Cricetulus griseus: one gene and its partner. The protein of the gene in region 2 interacts with the protein of the main gene of each other region in a pairwise test. Links are inferred from orthologs where the notes say so. Each region holds a gene or a part of one and is shown on either strand. Other genes may lie near its edges.

What was found.
Region 1: the proteins of Tmem239 (region 2) and Cxcl16 interact in a two-hybrid assay, tested with the Homo sapiens proteins (2 studies listed by BioGRID). The two-hybrid records come from large-scale screens. The link is inferred for Cricetulus griseus from reciprocal best matches to the Homo sapiens genes TMEM239 and CXCL16.

What each region holds. Positions count from the first base shown.
Region 1 is NC_048600.1:84,256,251-84,265,403, reverse strand, and holds Cxcl16 (C-X-C motif chemokine 16), read left to right. Parts: upstream 1-1,247; 5' UTR 1,248-1,390; intron 1,391-1,495; exon of another isoform or gene 1,496-1,600; 5' UTR 1,601-1,695; coding exon 1,696-1,765; intron 1,766-2,026; coding exon 2,027-2,165; intron 2,166-2,413; coding exon 2,414-2,496; intron 2,497-6,409; coding exon 6,410-6,877; intron 6,878-7,092; coding exon 7,093-7,139; 3' UTR 7,140-7,950; downstream 7,951-9,153. Other genes in the region: Zmynd15 (zinc finger MYND domain-containing protein 15), read right to left, coding at 1-543. UniProt on the Homo sapiens protein: Acts as a scavenger receptor on macrophages, which specifically binds to OxLDL (oxidized low density lipoprotein), suggesting that it may be involved in pathophysiology such as atherogenesis. Induces a strong chemotactic response. Induces calcium mobilization.
Region 2 is NC_048599.1:48,202,007-48,212,869, forward strand, and holds Tmem239 (transmembrane protein 239), read right to left. Parts: upstream 4,182-10,863; 5' UTR 4,167-4,181; coding exon 3,714-4,166; downstream 1-3,713. Other genes in the region: CUNH20orf141 (uncharacterized protein C20orf141 homolog), read right to left, coding at 4,836-5,091, 5,179-5,336.

The DNA.
Region 1 (9,153 bases), on a different chromosome or scaffold from region 2:
TCTCTCATCCTCTCCTCTGTCTTCTCGGCAGCCATCCTCACAGCTTGCCTCTTGCTGGGTCACCTCTGACTCGGCTGGTGGCTTTGCTTCTTGGGGTAATTCCCTGCTTGGAGGGGCTGGCTCCCCACCCTCCTGTGGTTCTGCCTTCTCAGTGCCTGAGCTCTCCTTTCCATTCTCTTGTTCATCTTCTTCCTCCTCCCCTTCCTCCCCATCCTCTAGGCTGACAAAACTGACGTAAGGACTCAGGTCTCTAAGGTGGAGTGGAGGCTCATCTCCCAAGAGCCGGGAAGCCCCCAGGCCTGGCCCAGGACCTGGCTCAGCACCTTGCCCCAGGCTGATGCCCACACTACGGTTTGGTAAGACGTGGAGCACCCAGAGGGCAGGGTCTTGGGGCAGCCTCCTTATCTGAGCCTCCAGTTGACGCCATCGGCCCTCAAGGTTGGTTCCCATGGTCCCCTTTTCTGTCACGAACTTGCGGAACCAGCCAAAGAGAAGGGCAGCGAAATCAAGGAACTCGTCCCGGTATCCAGACACAAACTCCATGTCTTCAGATGCACAGGGAGGGCCTGGACCCAGACTGAGCAGAAAGGGATGTATGTATGGTAACGGTCAGGTTTGGGCCGAGTCACAAAAGGGAGAAGGGGGGTGGGCTTCAGGTCAATCTATAGAGGAATCTCAGGAGCTCAGAACAGGATTTGCAGGGATAACGATGGAGGGAGGCTAGATTGGAAAGCGGATATTTAAAGGTGAGTGACGAAATCATAGCTGAGATACAAAACTCAGATCCTAAAGTGGGATTTGAATTAAGGGAAGACACAGGGTAAAGTTAATCCTATGGGGAAAGGTTTGCTAAGAAGGGAAAGTTTTGGGGGTCTGTTGGTCTGTGGGAATAGAAGTTAGAGTTAAGAACTGAGGCATCTCTTGATTGAGGATCAGTTTGGTGTGAGCCCCAATAAGCCCACCCTCTTTCTGGCCGCTCCTCTCCTCCGGTACCTGCAGCCGCCACCACTTTTCGAAGGTAAATACCTCGTGCAGGAGGACCGTCGTGACGTCAGGGCTGCCCGAGGCTCATAACTTGGGTGGCACGCCCGCTTAGGGCATCTGGCTGCACCCGGCCAGTGCTTTCACCTTGGCCATGTGACTGGATCCACAGTAACCCCTCGGACCAGGGAAGTGAAAGCATCTTGGAGCAGGAGGGAGGATCCAGCAAGTCATCTACTTTACAAACCAACAGACAGACAGGCGACCACCGGAGTGTTGACATCCCCAACTCAACCGAGTCATTCTTCCGGGGGTACTGCTTGCCCTCTCGGATTCCTCGGGCTCCACAGCCCGAGCTTCCTTTCGGTTTTGTCTTGGCTGCCCTCCCACCCCCACTCCCAGCCTGGACGTGAGTCTGGAGTCGGGTGAAGGAGCTCCTCCTTCAGGGGGTTCCCCTACGTGGGAGCTGGGCGCAGCGCAGGCTCCCGGCTACTGACCAGGCAGGCGGGCGGGCGGGCGGGCGGTTCAGGGCAGCGCGCGGGGACCGAGGGGAGGGACGGCACCGCTACCTCGCGCCCTGTCCCGCCTGAGCTTGGCACCGACCGCAGTGCCTCTGCAGAACCTTTGGCAGTCGGGGTGAAGAATCGAAAGCAAGCGGATCAGCTGGATGTCGGCTAAGTGGCTTGGCAACCACAAGCTCCGCAGAGTCCGGAGATGAGGCAGAGCTTCGGACTCCTGCCCCGAGTGCTCTTTCTCTTCTTGCTGGCTCTGCTGACCCAGCCAGGTTAGTCGTGGGGAGGGGCTGGGACCAGAATGGAAACTGGAGGGGCACAAGAACTCAGATTAAGAACTCAGCCCAGAGCTGCCAAAGGCAGCAGCCAGGACTAGGGGAAGGCTGTCAGGGGTTGGACTGGGGACCTCTGGGCCCAGGTGGCTTTACACTGGGGTGGGAAGTAGGTCTGGCGGGTAGGGAAGGCTGAGTCAGACAGCTGGGTTGGAAGCCAAGGAGTCCGAGCACCAGGGCTGATCCCTCTTTCCGCTTTAGGTGATGGCAACCAGGGCAGTGCCACTGGGAGCTGTTCCTGTGGTAAGACAATTGCTCCTGGCACCCTGGTACCGCCTGCTACCTTGACTCATATCCGAAAACACCTGAAAGCATACGATCGCTGTCCGTTCCTCATCAGGTACTGTCTCATCCGTTCGTCCATCCGTCCGTCTGACCCCCACCCTCCGGCCCCCGGGAGTTACAGGACCATCACAACCTGAACACCCAGTCCGGATGGGGGAGCCTAGCTCCTTACTAGTTTCACTTATCTGGGGATTTCCAGTCCTAATAGTGCCTACTTACCTTGGGTGACTTCACACCTTTGGAATGAGGAAAAGTAGGGAGGGGAAGGAGTGATCATAGGAGACTAGATTGATCCTCTTACAGGTTCCACTTAAAGTCCACGAGTGTGTGTGGGAGAAAGCAAGACCAGTGGGTCCGTGAAGTGATAAGCTGCTTTGAGAACAAAGGTGAGAGCCTCTTCTGTCCTCCAGTGGGCCACGTCTTATAATCTCCTTTGCCTCTGCCACACCACACAGCACTTTCCTATTTAGAAGCTTCTAACTGGCTTGAAATACTTTCACTAAAGTTTGTGTCTTCTCAATGTCCCTGTCATCTTCCTGGTTTCAGCCAATTTGTTCTACCACACATGCCATTACTTAATATTTTCTTTTTTATTTCATGTGCATTCATATTTTGTGTACATGTATGTCTGTGTGGAGGTGTTGAATCCCCTTTAACTGGAGTTAACGCAGTTGTGAGCTGCCATGTGGGTGCTGGGAATTGGATCCAGGTTCTCTGGAAGAACAGCCAGTACTCTTAAGTATTGAGCCATCTCTCCAGCCCTACTTAATATTTTCTTGAAATTATAATATAAAGTGTACTTGAGATTGGTCATGTGTTCTAACATTTAACTGTCACCCTGCATTTTAGACAGTTTCAGACAGGGTTTGGCTAAGTTGGCCAGGATGGGCTTGAACTTGGTTTTTTTTTTTTTTTTTAATGTGTAAAAATTACCTTTATTGCTGGGATGGAGGATCTTAGCCTGAATAAGATTGACCCTCAGAATGCACAAGGTACTGGGTAGAATGGGCCTTACCTTGAAGGAAAATGTGAGTGCTCAGAAGCTGAGACAACCCCCAAGAGTGGCTTGAGGCAAGAATGCCTATTCTTTCCAAATTTAGGAATTAGTTAACTGACTTCCCATCTTGAGAATCAGTAGGAGGAAAGGGAAGAAGGGAAACTGAGTGGGGACCTTAGAGTAAAATCCTTAGTGGCAAAAGAAGTGGTCAGTTCTCTTTTCATATTTTTTTAAAAAAATAATGGACCATAGTATTTTTTAAGTCACATAAAGTGAATACCCAAGCAAAGGCTGCAATGGAATGTGGTTTCTTTTTTCTTTTCTTCCCCCCCCCCCAACAAGACAGGGCTTTGGACCCTGTCCTAGAACTAGCTCTTGTAGACCAGGCTGGTCTGGAACTCACAGAGATCTGCCTGCTTCTGCCTCCCAAGTGCTGGGGTTAAAGGCGTGCGCCACCATCTTCTGGCTAGGAGTGTGGTTTCTTGGGTATCAAACTACTACACAGCAGGGTTAGTGTGGTAGGGCTCAGTGAGACTGCTGCCCATAGAAGGCTCTGCTGGCTGCGTGGTCCTTGGGTGGCGTCTGGGAACAGAGTTGATGAAAGCTCCTCATTGTGTCTAAACTGTGTGCACAGTATTCACTTTACTTCTTGCAGTCTAGAGTTTCCATATGTGTTAAACAGAGAATGCTTGCATGACCGTTCCCAGGTGAAAACTCTGGGGAGTGAGGTTACTGAGCTTCCTTTAGTTCATCCCTGCTCACATTATACGCCCCAAGGTTCCCTACTGGGAGCACTTCAGGAGTGTCTGCCAGGTCTTCTCTGCCCTTTGTCCACAGGAGATTCCTCTGCTGACTTTGTTTTGTGTCATTTTTGTTGTGACAACTCTTAGTTGTGGCTGCTGAGGCCAAAGAATCTCCCTAAAGAATCACTGAGCTGACAGTAGTCTAGTGGACTCTGACACCGGGTAACTCTGTGGTAGCTGAGTGTGGGCAGCCCATAGCGCCTGCTTCATTTTCCTCCCATGTCCACCTCTGGACCCGATGCCATTCTTTCTTAGATGAAGGACACTGGTGTCTTCTGTAAGAGCTATTTCAAAGGTGGAGAGTTGAAAACAGAATGTAAGGCAGGCTCCCACTCATCTTAACTCAATTTCAGCTCAGCACCCTGAGTATTGGGAGAAGCACTCCATCGTGGACTCTGAACACCCTTGAGTTCTTTTTTTAACTTGTTCTTATTGAGCTATACATTTTCCCCCATCCCCCTTCCCTTATCCTCTCAACTCAGTCTTGAACTTATCATCCTCCTGCCTCAACCTCTCTAGTAGCTGGGATAACAGGTCTCTATGACAGGTTTGGCTTTCACTATTGTACTTTCATTGAAATCACTTGAAGGTACTATTTTCATTTTTTAATAATTAATGATGAAAATAAACATTACAGTTGAAAGAATTTACCCAGGTGTGGTGGTGAACACCTCTAACCCCAGCATTCTGGGAGGCAGAGGCAGGTGGAGCTCTGTGAATCTGAGGCCAACCTGGTCTACATAATGATTTTCAGGATAGTCAGGGCTACATATAGACAATAAAACAAAACAAAAAAGTTGAAAGAATTATACATTGAACAGCCTCTATGGACATCAACTACATTCTACAATATTTGATTTGCAGTTTCATATTTATTTATTTATATAATAAAGCAAATATGAAATCAGTAATATTTACAATATTGGTTCTACAGCATTTTACTACATTTGCATTATTGCAAACTGATTGTGTTATCTATCCATCATCAATCTTACTGCTCTTTTTAATTTTTTCTTTTTTGGCCTTGAAGTGATCCTCACAAGTGCTGGGATTACAGGCATGCACCACCACTCTCCATTTCAATTTACCTTTTTTAAAAACTTTTTTTCAACATAAATTGCAGATATTATTGTATTTAATCCCCAAACATTTCAGCATGTATTTTACTGAGTTCAATTTTTGTTTTGTTTGCTTAAGACAACGTTTCTCTATGTAGCCTTGGCTGTCCTGGAACTCGCTCTATAGACCAGGCTGGCCTTGAACTCATAGACTCATCTGCCTGCTTCTGCTTCCCTGAGCCACTGAGATTAAAGACCCAACTCTGGGTTCAATATTTTATTGTTCTTTTGTTCTTTCAAGATTAAAAAGAAAAAACTCAATTAAATGAATAGATCTTAAGTATGCATAAGCCAGTTTTCAAACAAATTACTTAATAGCTTGTATGTTTCTTGTATGGTAGCATACACCTTTAAGCCCAGATGGATCTCTGAGTTCGAGGCCAGCCTGATCTACAGAGCAAGTTCCAGGACAGCCAGGGATACACAGAGAAACCTTGTCTTCAATTAAAAACAAAAAAGATACAACTCTTAAAATATGAAATGTTCTTCAATAGTCTACCTGGTTATTAGTGGTACCCACACTGCCTTTCAAGCTATGGAGACCTACATTGTTTCCTTCAACTCTCCCAGATACCCTGGGCCTTGTTACCATGACAAGAGTCCCAGAACAGCTATAGATGATGGGTAAAGTACTCTAGGGTTCAATGCAATGTAGCACACCTGCCTTGCCCTGTGACTGCATCTTGTAGTTTGTGAACTTCCTTGTCCCTGTCTGTCCCTCTGCCACTGTCTTCCTCCCACGGCCTTCAGCTGCCCTGCTCCAAATCTCTTTTTGCACAGTATGGGGAATGAATCCAGGGCCTTGCCTCATACATGCTAGGCAAGAACGCTGCCACTGAGTCATATACACAGTTCTTCAGTTGTCCCCTGGATGCTCCCCATCCCCTCCCTCTGCTGGGCTCAGAACATGATACTCAAATAGGGGATTTTAGCAGCTGAGAGATCCAACAAAGCAAATCACTCTGACTTTCCTCCACCTTTCTCTGTGCCAGCTGGCCACAAAGGAACTAGAACTGAGGCATAATAAATACTTTCATGCTATAGGAGCCCTGGCCAGGACTCGGAGGCCCAAAAGAATCTGGCAAGGCCTTACTGGTCCCCTCCCTGTTGCCCTGGGGTGGGGGTGGGGACAGGAGATTTAATCCAGGGTCTTGTACATGCTACACCCCAGCCTACCCCTTGTTCATTACCACTAACCAGAACCCTTCCTGCCCAATCCTATTTCTACACGCTGTCCATTCCTTATCCAGTCTAAGCACAGTAGAATAGGTTCCTGCATCCCATCAACTTGTTCTGCTTTTCTCATTAATCTGAAGACAGGTGAGGAAGATATTCTCCAGCTGTTCCTGTAGCCCTGATCCTTTATTTGTTTTCTCTCCAGAGTGTGGACATGGCCACGGGAAGAGTCTCCCCCACCAGGAGCCTTTGCCTCACGCTAGCACCCAGATCCCCGTGACCACAGAGGGGACACCTCCAGACACAAGCACCCCTGCACAGATTCAGAGTACCCACCAGTCCACTTTTCCATCTGGTGCACTGTCCTTGAACAAAGAGCTCACCCCCCACAGTGAAACCACTGCTGTCACTTCAGGCTATGAAACCACTGCTGTCACTTCGGGCTATGAAACCACTGCTGTCACTTCAGGCTGCGATCCAGAAGCTAGACCTAAGGCTAAGGCAAATAAAAAACAGCAAGAGAACAAACAGCAAAAAGAAAAACCAGAATCTTCAGCTGGCACACCAGGCTTGGTACCAGTGCTGTCCCTCCTGGTCATTGTTTTCTTTCTCACAGCAGCCGTGGTCTATATGCTGTGCACCAGGAGGAGAGTGAGGCAGCAGCGTTCTGCAGGTAAATGAGACTCCGAAACCTCACCTCAGGGACCCAGAGCCAGACTGCTAACAGAGGCACACAAATAGTAAGGCTGTGAGGGACGAGTCAGCCAGCGTGTACTAGGTCTTAAGGTTAATTAATGTCTGGGAGTCTGATTCCCCAATTCAGTTCATGTCCTGCCTCAGTTCTCCTTCATCTCAGAGTTCATCTACAAATTTCTTTATCCTTTCCAGATCTGCAGCTCCGTTATGCACCTGTAAACCAAGACTCCAGAGCCTGAAACAAGAATGGAAGCTTGGGAGAAGGCTCAGGAGACGGCAGTAGACTGTGTTCTATCAACCAACTGTCCCTTCGTTCATTCTCCCTTAAACTGAGACAAAGCACTCATCTCATAATCCAGGACAGCTTTGAGTTACTCATTCTCATTCTCTAGGTTCTGGGATCACAGACATATGACGAATCTGCCCTAATTTACCTCTGTAAATAATGTATACATTTTTTAGAGTTTTGTTTAGCCTGCCTCAAATTCTTATGTATCTGAGGTTGACTACTGATCCTTCTGCCTCCACTTCCATAGTGCTGGAATTACACACTTGCTAAACAGCTTTTATTTTATTTTATTTTTTGAGACAGATTTCACTATTCAGTCCTGGCTTTACAGTGTTGGGATTAAAGGACTGTACCTGGCCCTTGAGAAACACTCTTTTGTTTTGGGGGTTTATTTGGTTTGGTTTTTTGAGATAGAGTTTCTCTTTGTAACAGCCTTGGCTGTCCTGAAATTCACTTTGTACACCAGGCTGACCTCAAACTCACAGAGATCCACCTGCCTCTGCCTCCTGAGTGCTGGAATTAAAGGTGTGTACTACTTTTAATGATTAATAATATATGAGTAGCCCCACTGCCCTTAGTCCTCTCCCCTGTGGCTAATAAAATGTAATACTCTAAATTATGTGGTCTAAAAGTACGGTCCCTTTGTAGAGTGCCTGCCTCACATGTGTAAAATTCTAGGTTCAGTCCTCTCACTATGGATACATTAATTTTTAAAAATGTCTGTTTTATACATTGTATAGCAATAAACTGGACAAATTCTATGTTTTTACCTATAATACTAAAAATTGCTTTTAGAGTTAGTGGCTGAGGGTTGGAGGGATGACCCAGCAGTTTAGAGCAATAGTTCTTTGCAGAGGACTCGTGTGCTGGACACCACCATATTGTAACTCCAGTACCTGGGGATCTGATAACCCTTCTCTGACCTCTACAGGCACCAGGTATGCACATATACATACAAAAGCAAACCATTACTCAGCCACATAAATCTAACTTTTTTTTTTTTTTTTAACAACTATTGACTTCTGCAGACACCGGCTTCAGTCTTTGTCCCCTTAGAAGTGCTGATGGCGTCCCCAGGCCACAAGTTCCCTTCCCACTACACCAGCTGTTCTCTAATCCCACACTGAAAGCTTAGGCTGTCTTCTCTCCCTTGTTAGCAGCTGCTGTGCTGATTGATTCACTGATTCTGTACAGGCCGGACTCACTTCCTCAATCTCCTGGATCACTCATATACACCCAGAGAAAGAGTATGATCTCCATTAAAAAAAAAAAAAAAAGTTACAGCTTTTATTATTAAAACACAGTTCCTATTTTTGTTTCTTCTGAAGAGGAACAACGCTTCTCTCTCCCTCTCTCTCTCTCTTTTTTTTTTTTTTTTTTTGGTTTTTTGAGACACGGTTTCTCTGTGTAGCCCTGGCTGTCATGGAACTCGCTCTGTAAACCAGGCTGGCCTCAAATGCACAGAGATCTGCCTGCCTCTGCTTCCTGAGTGCTGGGACAAAGCCACCGTCAGGCTCCACAACTCTTTTTGAGGAAGACTCCTGCTATGTACTTAGCCCCAGTTGGTCTCAAACTGTAGCAATGTTCCTACCTCCCCTTCCCAAATGTTGGGATTACAGATGTGAGCCACCATGCCTGCTTATGAGAATATTTTTATTGGGGAGCTGGAAAGATGGCTCAGAGTTTAAGAGGGCTGACCGATCTTCTAGAGGGTCCAGGTTCAATTCCCCGAATCCACTTGGTAGCTAACTACCTTCTGTGACTCCATTTCCAAGGGGATCCAACACCCTCTTCTGGCTTCCATGGGCATTGCATATATGTGGTGTACAGACATACATGGGAGGAAAATAACCATACTTGTAAAATAAAAATAGATTTTTATTGGGCCAAGTCTTCTGGAACTCTAGGGCAGGGTGTGCATGAGGAAGTGGGTTAGGCAGCTGTGTCTCTGACTCCTGTCTGTG
Region 2 (10,863 bases):
CTTTCACATAGCAACTAACAACATAAAACGTCTTGGGGTAACACTAACCAAAAACGAGAAAGACCTGTATAGTAAGAAGTTTGAGTATTTAAAGAAAGAAATTAAAGAATATACCAGAAAATGGAAAGATCTCTCATGCTCTTGGATGGGTAGGATCAACATAGTAAAAATGGCAATCCTGCCAAAAGCAATCTACAGATTCAATGCAATTCCCGTCAAAATCCCAACACAATTCTTCACAGACCTTGAAAGAACAAAACTCAACTTCATATGAAAAAAAAAACAGGATAGCCAAAACAACCCTGTACAATAAAGAAATTTCCGGAGGCATCACCATCCCTGACTTCAAGCTCTATTATACAGTCATAATCCTGAAAACAGCTTGGTATTGACACAAAAATAGACAGGTTGACCAATGGAATCGAATTGAAAACCCTGATATTAACCCACACACCTATGAACACCTGATTTTTGACAAAGAAGCTAAATTTATACAATGGAAGAAAGAAAGCATCTTCAACAAATGGTGCTGGCATAACTGGATTCAGACATGTAGAAGATTACAGATGGATCCATATCTATCGTCATGCACTAAACTTAAATCCAAATGGATCAAAGACCTCAACATAAATTCAGCCACACTGAACCTCCTTGAAGAGAAGGTAGGTGGCACCCTTGAACAAATTGGTGCAGGAGACTGCTTTCTGAACATTACACCAGTAGCACAGACATTGAGATGGACAATTAATAAATGGGACCTCCTGAAACTGAGAAGCTTCTGTAAAGCCAAGGAGACAGTCAGCAAGTCAAAACGCCAGCCCACAAAATGGGAAAAGATATTCACCAACCCCACATCTGACAGAGGGCTGATCACAAAAATATACATGAATTCAAGAAGCTGCCCACCAAAACACCAAACAACACAACTAAAAGATGGAGTGCAGAACTTAATAGAGAATTCTCAACAGAGGAATCCAAAATGGTTGAAAGACACTTGAGAAAGTGCTCAACATCCTTAGCCATCAGGGAAATGCAACTCAAAACCACTCTGAGATACCATCTTACTCCTGTCAGAATGGCTAAAATCAATAACAAATGACAATCTATGCTGGAGAGGATATGGAGAAAGAGGAACTCTCTTCCATTGCTGGTGGAAGTAAACTTGTACAGCCACTTTGGAAAGCAATATGGCAGTTTCTCAGGAAAATGGAAATCAGTCTACCTCAAGATCCAGCAATCTCTCTCTTGGGCATATACCCAAAGAATGCACACTCATACAATAAGGACATATGTTCAACTATGTTCATAGCAGCATTATTTGTAATAGCCAGAACCCGGAAAGAACCTAGATGCCCCTCAACTGAAGAATGGATAGAAAAAAATGTGGTATATTTATACAATGGAGTACTACTCAGTGGAAAAAAAAAACAATGAAATCCTGAAATTTGCAGGCAAATTGATGGAACTAGAAGAAACCATACTCAGTTAGGTAACCCAATCACAAAAAGATAAACATGGTATATACTCACTCATTTTTGATTTTTAGACATAGAGCAAAGGATCACTAGCCTAAATTCCACACTGCCAGAGGAGCTAGGAAACAAGGAGGAACCCAAGAGAAGATTGCATAGTCCCTCGAAGAAGGGGATGGGGACAAGAACCCCTGACAAAATTGGAGCCCAGGGCAGGAAAAGGAAGGAGAGTCTTCATCCAGTTGCTGTTCTAAGCAGAAACAGACACCCATAGCTAAGCACTGAACCATACTACTGGAATTCAGTTGTGGAGAGGGAGGAGGGTTGAGCAAAGGAGCCAAGACGGGGATGGAGAGACCTGCAGAAACAGTGGACCTGACCTACTGATAGAATGGAGATCCTAGTCATAAATCTGGGGAAATAGCATTGGACCAAACCAAACTCTCTGAATGTGGCTACCAGCTAGGAGCCCAAGACAGTCTATGGCTCCTCTGACAGCATAGCCAGTCTTTATCCCTAGAGCACAAATGGTCTTTGGGAGCCCACTCCCTATGGAGGGATACTATTGCAGCCCAGATACAGCAACGAGGGTCTAGACTTTCCCCCAAACAATATGACAGACTTTGAAGGTCCTTGGTAGAGGGCCTCACTATCCCTGGAGAGGAGTCGGGGAGTAGGTTGGGGTGGGTTGGGTGAAGAACATGGGAGGGTGAGGGAATGGGGGGATGGATATGTAAATATGAGAAATTAAAAATAAAAATTAAAAAACAGATAAGGAATTGGGAAGCAGGAGGAAATGGGAAGGGGTGGGTGTGGATAAAGACTGTTAGCTGGGCCCTGGCAAATTATCTAACATGTCTGTCACTTTATTTGGTAACTGATACTCAACATTTTGGTTGGAGGGGTCAGCAGATAGGTAAATGGCCAGACTCTGAGGACTTATGGATGATCCAAAACCTTCTGGGATGTAAACAACTTGCTTGATCAATTTTGGAAATCCCTGAGCTATTACTTCCCTACTCACACAGCTTTGCAAGCATTTCCTGGCTACAACCTCAAGCATTGCACAACCAGTATAGTTCAATATCTGCCTAGTTTGAGGTTGTATGACACAACCTTTTACATTTCATCCACACCATCTATTCTGTGTTAACTATTTTAGGGCTGAGATTCTATCCACGACAGAATTTCTCTGGAATTCTAAAGAAACTTGCTTCATCATCTTAACTTCTGGATTGAAAGGCTTTTTGCGCTTGTAGAATGTTCTTGGAGCCAAAACATCTTAACTGCTTTTTGGCCTTACAAAGTACTTTTCATAAAACCAAGCATTGTGGCACAAGTTTTAATCCCAGTACTCTGGAGGTAGAGGCAATAGATCAGAAGTTCAGAGTCATCCTCAGTTAAATAGTGAGTTCAAAGCCATCCTGGACTTCATGAGACCCTGTTTCAAAATGAAAACAAAAACAACAACAAAAACCCAAAGTATTTTGCAAATAGATACTGACTTTGGATCATAACAGTCCCATGAAAAGAATGGGACCCACTTAACAATGAGATTCAAAAATAATGAATTGGCCAAAGTGTAGGTGTCTGAAATGGGACTTGTTCTTTCCTAACAGATCTGGAGGCTCTGTATGTATGTAGGGTGGAGTGTATGCTTACGTACAAAGCCTTGATTCATTCTCTAGCATGTGTACACACACACACACACACACACACACACACACACACACACACACACACACACACACCTCACTATGATGATTGGTCTATTTCCTGTTTCTGGGAGGTGATTGAGGTGAGGTCACCAGGGTTTTGGACCAGGACCACCCCTGTCTATCTTTCAGTAAGGTTCTTTCCCAGAGTCTATGCTCCTTCTGGAAGCAGAGGATCCATGACAAATCCACACAGAGTGATGAGACCAGGGATATATAGGTGTAAACTCTCAGGAAGCCTGAAGCAGGGAGGGCTGGGAGGTATGATAAAAAGATGCTGCCTGGGAGACCAAGTGTTGCTACCACATCTGTACAGGTGTTCTCAGTGGTTTGACCAAGATCTTGGCCCTGGCTGAACCATTTGTCCTGTCCCCGACACCAACATGGGTTTAAGGTAGATTCCCAGAAGCCAGACCTCCACCTGTGCTTGTGATTGGGGGTCTGAGGTCTGTTGACGTTCCCCACAGGGCTCAGACCTTGGCCAGGGCTCAACAGACACAGGCAATAAGATGGGGTTGCCCTTCTATTAGTCCAAGTCCTGGGCATAGCCTGGGTGAGTCATGGAGGTAAGGAGGCCCACGAGGCTCAGCAGTGTGGAGAAGAGCAGCAGGAAGGAGGCAGCGAAGAGCAGAGCAGGCATGGCACTGAGTACCAGCAGCAGGATAGCTGGCAGCAGGTGGCTCCATACCACAGCCACCACAGGCCACAGGGAGCTCAGCAGGTGGGAGCCAGTGGTGAAGAGTGCATGGCATAGCATCAGTGCGAGCAGCAGGTAGAGTGTCCCCTCCAGACCCCATAGCATACGCTGTAGAGGTTGCCGCCAGCCTGATGTATTCCACCACTGGGACCAGCTCCGGGGCATGTGGCATGCCCACCATCGCACCCAGTCCTGACGGGTGACCCAGGCTGACCAGGGCACTGCCCGCTGGGGCCCCTCGCCAGCCCCGATGATATCCGTCTCCACTCGTGGCTGCTGCATCACGGCTGGTGCACCTGTGGACAGGGCCAGGCCAGCTGCAGGAGCAGCCCTGGAGATGCCCAGGATCTCTGGATAGGTGGGGTTGCAGGGGTCAGGAGGATACCAGCACGGGCAGGATTGGGCTTTGAACTGGGGCCTAGGACTTACCTTTGGTCAGAGCCACCTAAGTCATGATGTTTCCTGTTGTGCCCAGGCTGGCCTGGCAGCCAGGTCCCAGGCTCACCCTCACTCACTCCACCATCCTCAGAGGAGTCCATTGTGACCTGGGCTGGGGCGGGGCCCAGCTGAGAGAAGAGCTACTGCAGCATAGTGTGAGACTCACTTGAGTCCCTCACTACGGACCTTCCAGGCTGGCAGGAGAGCTCAGCAAGCCTCCCAGATACCATTCTTCTTGCTTGTAGGAACCCTTCCCCACTCCCGTCCCTTCTTGATGGCTACCTCCAACTGCAGGACTGGAGTTGGTTGTTGTGTCCACCCTTTTCTCTGCCTTCTCTTATCACCCTAAGCCTCAGACCCAGTTCTCAAATGTCCATATTATGGAACTAGAGGCCTCTGAGGTTCAAGCTGACACAATAGTGTATTCTACCCTTACACCACAACCTCTGTAACTCAGGATAGAAGAGAGGAGAGCCGGGGAAGCAGAATGGGCGATGTATTTTTAGAAGGCATTCAGTTTTCTGAGGGCCCTCGGTCCCAAGGATGGAGGCAGAAAGCAAGGCCCAGCAGGGCTAAGGGTATACCAGAGCCTCCCAAGAATAGGCCCAGGCCCAGGAACAGCAGGAACAGGGCATCCTGGAGGCTGAGTAGTCCTGAGACTATCCCTGTTGGAAAGAGGGGAGCTGCCTGCTGTCCCGGACCTTCACCAGCCCCCTGGCTCTGACCCATCGGGAGAAGTCTGTGTCTTGGCAGGATGGGACCTGTGGACCTGTGGAGAGAGAAGATGCCAGCTCAAGGCAATTGCTCATCTGACTCTGTGCTTGTGACACCCACCTGGCAGGCTGCTGCCACTTACCCATGGAGCAGGTCAAAAGCAAGGAAGCTGGCCAGCAGCAGGAGCAGCAGGGCTAGGCCAGCTTTCGAGAAGACTGTTCCAATTGTCACTCCTAGTGCCCCCAGCCCTAGGATACTGTCCAGGAGCTGGGCCTGGCTGAAGTCCCAGGGGACACACATGGCTCACTGACCTACTCAACCACTCTCCAGTATCCAGACTGCTGGGAGGGATAATATGGAATCTATAAAGGCTTTGGGGATGGACGAGCAGAACTGGGGCTGGAGGTATTAGGAGGAGCTAGTGCTAGGAGATTAAGAATCAGGGGGAAGGAGGACCCTGGTTTACACTCAAGGGTGAGCTCAGAGAATAGGGAACTGGGCCCTTTGTGGATGCCCCCACCCCCAACTCTCACTCTATCTTCACCAAACCCTCCTCACCTCCTCCCACTTGGGCCGACCATTCTGGATTTGGACACCTGGGGCATTGTGACTTATTCCCAGGCAGTGCCTTGAGTTAAGGACAGGATAACAGTTTGTCTTGCCTCATAAACACTGGTAGCCTAGGTAGCGCTTAGCTAGTACTCACCCTTAGTTATTGCCATGGCAAGTAATTCTCTGCCCCGGGGGACTTCCCATGGCTTCAGGCTTTGTCAGGAAAGCATGCTAGCAGCATGACTATTTGGACTCCTGCCAAGGGAGGAGAGGCTGCTTCCTCCTGGAAGTTCTCAGGCTGGGTGTCTGGGATGCCATTCAGCCATTTAATTTTTTCTGTACCCATTTCTCTTCCCTGAATGTGGGGTAAGGCCCTGGGGGGGGTAGTGGGGGAGTTAGGTCTCCAACTCTGGGGTGCAGAATAGGCTTTTCCAATGGGTAAGCTAGGCTATGGGTGGCAGGAGGATGCCATTGGATGTCTTAAGCACTGCAGTTTGGGGAGATGTTATAACTTCAGAAATGGGACAGAGAGCTGGATATGGTATCTTATGCCTTAATTTCAGCACTCAGAAGGCGGAGGCAAGAAGATTGAGAGTTTAAGGCCAGCCTGGACTATATAGTGAGATGCTGCTCAGAGAAACTTGAAAAAAAAAAAAGATAGAGGTTATGAACCTAAGAGGCTTACAACATTGTGACCTCAAGTTATTCTGAGTTAGGGTTTGTTCATGCCTTCCAGGCTGGCCTTGAAATTGCCGTGTAATGCAAGGTGCTCTCTAACTCTCAGTGAGTCTCTGCCTCTACATCCTGAGTGCTAGGATTGCAGGCGTGCAGTACTGTGCCTCACAAAAAACTCCAAATAGGAAGTTAGGGCTGCAGTTTAAGAATGAAATTAAGGAATGAACATGGAATAAATTTATGGTCACAATTGCTGGTTACTATTATTCAATGAGAATAAATGTGTTCCCACTGAATGAATCTATGAAATGGGAGTGGTTGCAGAGCTATTAAGTACATGGACAGTTTGGTGATAAAAGATGAGTAGAAGTGACTTAGAAATTTAACTGTTACTCATACTTTGAAGGAAAACTGAAGGGAGTGTGGTAGGGGAGACAGTGACAATATAGACAATGACAATATAGCCCCAGAAAAAGGAGAGATTGAGTGAGAATGATAGGAAGGGCATTCAGCTGTCTCCCAGGAAGCCGTCCCCAAAGACCCAGGCCTTGGCATGTTTGGTGCTGTTGGACTTGAAACCATAGAGCCAGTGTCATTTATCCTTAATATTATTTACCTATTGCCTTTCCACTGGCTTTTGTTTGACTGGGAACTTTGTTTCAGATAAGTTTGTCTATGGGGACATAGGAAACAGAAGATGATCCTGTTTTTTTTTTTTTTTTTTTTTTTTTTGTCTAAGTCTCAATTGTTTTTGCAAATGAGAAAATTAGCATCTAGGTTTTCAATTGCCAGTTCCATGAGTCTGTTCATTTCTGGTGCAGCCACAAGATTGCATCGCTGAACTATGGAATTGAGAGTCATGTCCCGACAATTCTACCGAGAGGAAGTAGCCACAATGCAAGGGGTTGGGAATGGGGTGTGCGGCTAATACTCCTTAAGATTTAGTGTGTGCAAGGTGCTCCGCATAATTTGTAGGGTAGTTAGTTCTACTTGGAGTTTTCTCAGTTTATTTTTTGTCCAACAATAATTTATAAATTGATCCCTGAGTGCCAGATCTACTGTTGGGTTATAACTCCTAAGGCAGACATTCTACTGAGGGCTTGGAGTTGTTCTCAGAAAGAAAATAATTAGGAGATGAGGAAGGAGAAGGACAGGGTAGAAGAAAGGGATAACCTAGCATATTGTCTTGTCTGGAGTCTAGCCTGACCTTGCAGATAGCTCTGAGAACAGTGAATTGTGCTATAGAGTTGGTCCCATCTTATCAATCAGTCATTGATGATAGCTCTTTCATGGAGGAAAGAGAAGGGAAGTTAGAGAACTGTAACTTTCAGCATGAAAGCAACTTCTATCTGCTGAGCGCTTTTGTCTGTAGAAATCAAACAGCTATAATTTATGAATGGCAAACAATGGGGGTGGGCACACTGTTGGTAAAGGGGACGTCAGTGGGGAATTAACAGCATATGGTAGCCAATCTTGTAATAAACGATTCAGCAAATCTGGATTTGTGACATGTTTATTCATAAAAACTATTTGGCTTGGGACTGGAGTAGAGCTTCTTAGTGATTAAGAGCTCTTCCTGCTCTTCCAGAGGACCAGGGTTCAGTTCCCAGCGCCCACACCAGGTGGCTCACAACTGCGTGCAACTCCAGCTCCAAGGGATCCAACACACTCTTCTAGCAACTCATAAACCCAAAAGTGGCTGGCTCTTGCTGGGCTCTCTAAGGAGCTATTCTCTAAGTCCTTGGAATATCCTATTCAGTATAAGTGTCTCTGTTTACACAGGCCATATCAAATAGTCCATGCCAGCAATGTAATTTTTGCTGAGGACTTAGACCAGAAACTAGGATTACCTTGGCCTCTAGAGGGTTTGGACTAACGTCCACCAACATGGGCAGTCAACTATACTTGTATGGCTTATCTCCAATAAAATTCTGGACACCAAAACTCCAGTGAATTTTTCTTATTAACAGTACTTGGTGAATGTGGTCTCGAATACTTCTGGAAGGATTAAGTACTGGCTCCCTGAGTCCATTTTCATATAAACAACTGGAAGCTCATACCCACTGTTTCCTGTACCCTGCTAATGTACATTCTTCTATTGTCAGTTTTATTCTGCCTGCAACCTTTATCACACTATGTGAACATTAGTATAATCACTTTGGTGAATTCTTCTGATAAACCATTGAACAAGAAAGCGTCTTGGGGACTCTGGAAAAACATTGGCATTCGAAGTAGGATTCACCAGGACAGTGCTGATTCACTAAGATAGGATGGAGTCACGAGTTGAGAGAAAGGGTAAGAGGGAGAGTCTTTGATTCCCAGATGGCTACTTAGTCACCCACAGCTTGGAAATGAAGCAGCCCCATGATCAGTTACTGGAGGTCAAAGTTATCAGTGGAGTTTATTGATGACAGCTAACTCCTGGAGGAGTCATTTAGGAAACTGTCCAGAAAGTAGAGTAATAAACAAAACCCCTAAGAAACTTTTTTTTAAAAAAAGTTAGTAAAAATCAGAGGAGGAATATTTGAAAGTTTTCAAAAAGAAAAAACATAATTCTAAACCTTTTTTCTGGTGCAGTGAACTTTAAGGGAATAGGGCTTCTTAAGCCCTCCTTCTTCTGGAGGCCTGGGATGACAACTATGACAGGAGATGCTAAGTATATTGGAGGCTGAGTTGGGAGAGGGACTCCTCAGCAGCCAAGGGCCTCGCTTCCTTTCATTTTCTTCCTGGTGGGTGGTCCAGGACTCCTTATTCCATGGAGAACATGTGAACCATAAGCTCTACTACCCTGCAGTTGTAGCTGAATTCATTGTCATGCCAGGAAATGGACTTGACAAAATTGTTATTGAGAGCAATGCCTACCCCGGCATCAAAGATGAAAGAATGGGTGTTGTTGCTAAAAATCATAGGAAACAGCCTGTTCCTCCTCATATACCCCAAATGCCCTGTACAGCCCTAGGTTGCCTGCTTCATTTTGGTTTTTCGAGACAGGGTTTCTCTGTGTAGCTTTGGAGTCTATCCTCGTACTCGCTCTGGAGACCAGGCTGGCCTCAAACTCACAGAGATCCTCCTGACCCTGCCTCCTGAGTGCTGGGATTAAAGGCGTGTACCACCAACGCTCGGCTTCATTGCCTTTTAAAAACAATTTTAAATTTATTTCCTGTGTATGTATGTTTAGCCTGCATTTATGTCAGTGTACCATGTGTGTGCCTGATGACTGAAAAGATCAGAAAAGGATGCCAGATTCCCTGGGACTGGAGTTACAGACAGTTGTGAGTCATTTTGTGGGTTCTGGGAATTTAATTCAGATCCTCTGTGAGAGTAGCAAGTGCTCATAACTACTGAGCCATCTCTCCAGCCCCTTCACCATCTTCTGCATGTCTTTGTACCTGGCAGCTTAGACTTACAACAGACACATTACCAGTGAGCTTCCTGCTCAGCTCTTGGCATGACCTTGTCCACAGCCTTGGCAGTGCCAGTGGATGCAGGGTTGATGTTCTAGGCAGTCCCACAACCATCACACCACACTTTCCCAGAGGGGCTATCCATGCTTGTTTGTTTTTTGGAGGGTGGTAATGTCATGTGCGGTGGTCACTGATGCCAAAGTTGTCATGGATGACCTTGGCAAGGAGGGCTAAGCAGTTGATGGTGCAGGAAGCATTGCTGACAATCTTGAGTGGGTTTCATATTTCTCGTGGTTCATTCTCATCACAAACATGGGGGTAACAGTAGAAGAGGCAGAGATATGACTTTTGCCTCCACTCTCCAAGTGGGCCCCAGCTTTCTCCATGGTGGTGAAGACACCAGTTGATTCCACTGGTGTTTGGTACCAGCGTCACCCCATTTGATGTTGGCAGGATCCTGCTACTGAAAGATGGAGATTGTCTTCCCATTGATGGCCAATTTCCTGATCTCAGCCGTGACTTTTCCAGGGAACTTGCCATGGGTGGAATCATACTGGGACATGCAGACCATGTAGTTGAGGTCTTTGATGGCAGCCCTACTGACCAGGTACTCAATATGGCCCAACAGGGAGGATCAGAGAGCTTAAATCACACAACTTTTAATAAACTGGGTGTGGTGGGGAATGCATACTCAGCACTCTTTAGGCAGAGTCAGGAGGATCAGATGTCCAATGCCATCTTCAGGTACATAGAGACCTGTGGTAGTTTGAATGTAATAGGCCCCATAAGCTCATAGGGAGTGGCACTATTAGGAGATGTGGCTTTGTTGGAGTGGGTATGGTCTTGTTGGGGGAAGGTGTCACTGTGGGGGCCTACTTTGAGGTCTCTTGTGCTCAAGATATGCCCAGTGTCTCAGTTCACTTCTTGTGGTCTTTGGGTTGAGATATAGAATTTTCAGCTCCTCCAGCACCATGTTTTCCTGCACACTGCTATGTCCCACCCTGGTGATAACAGACTGAAATTCTGAATTGTAAGGCACCCAATTAAATGTTTACCTTTATAAGGAAATGGTCGTGGTGTCTCTTCACAGCAATGGGAACCCTAACTAAGGCAAGACCAGTCTGGGCTATGTAGAGCACAAATAGTCTTACCAGTTCATAATCATGTGAAATTAAAATTACTGGTATTTCCTGCAC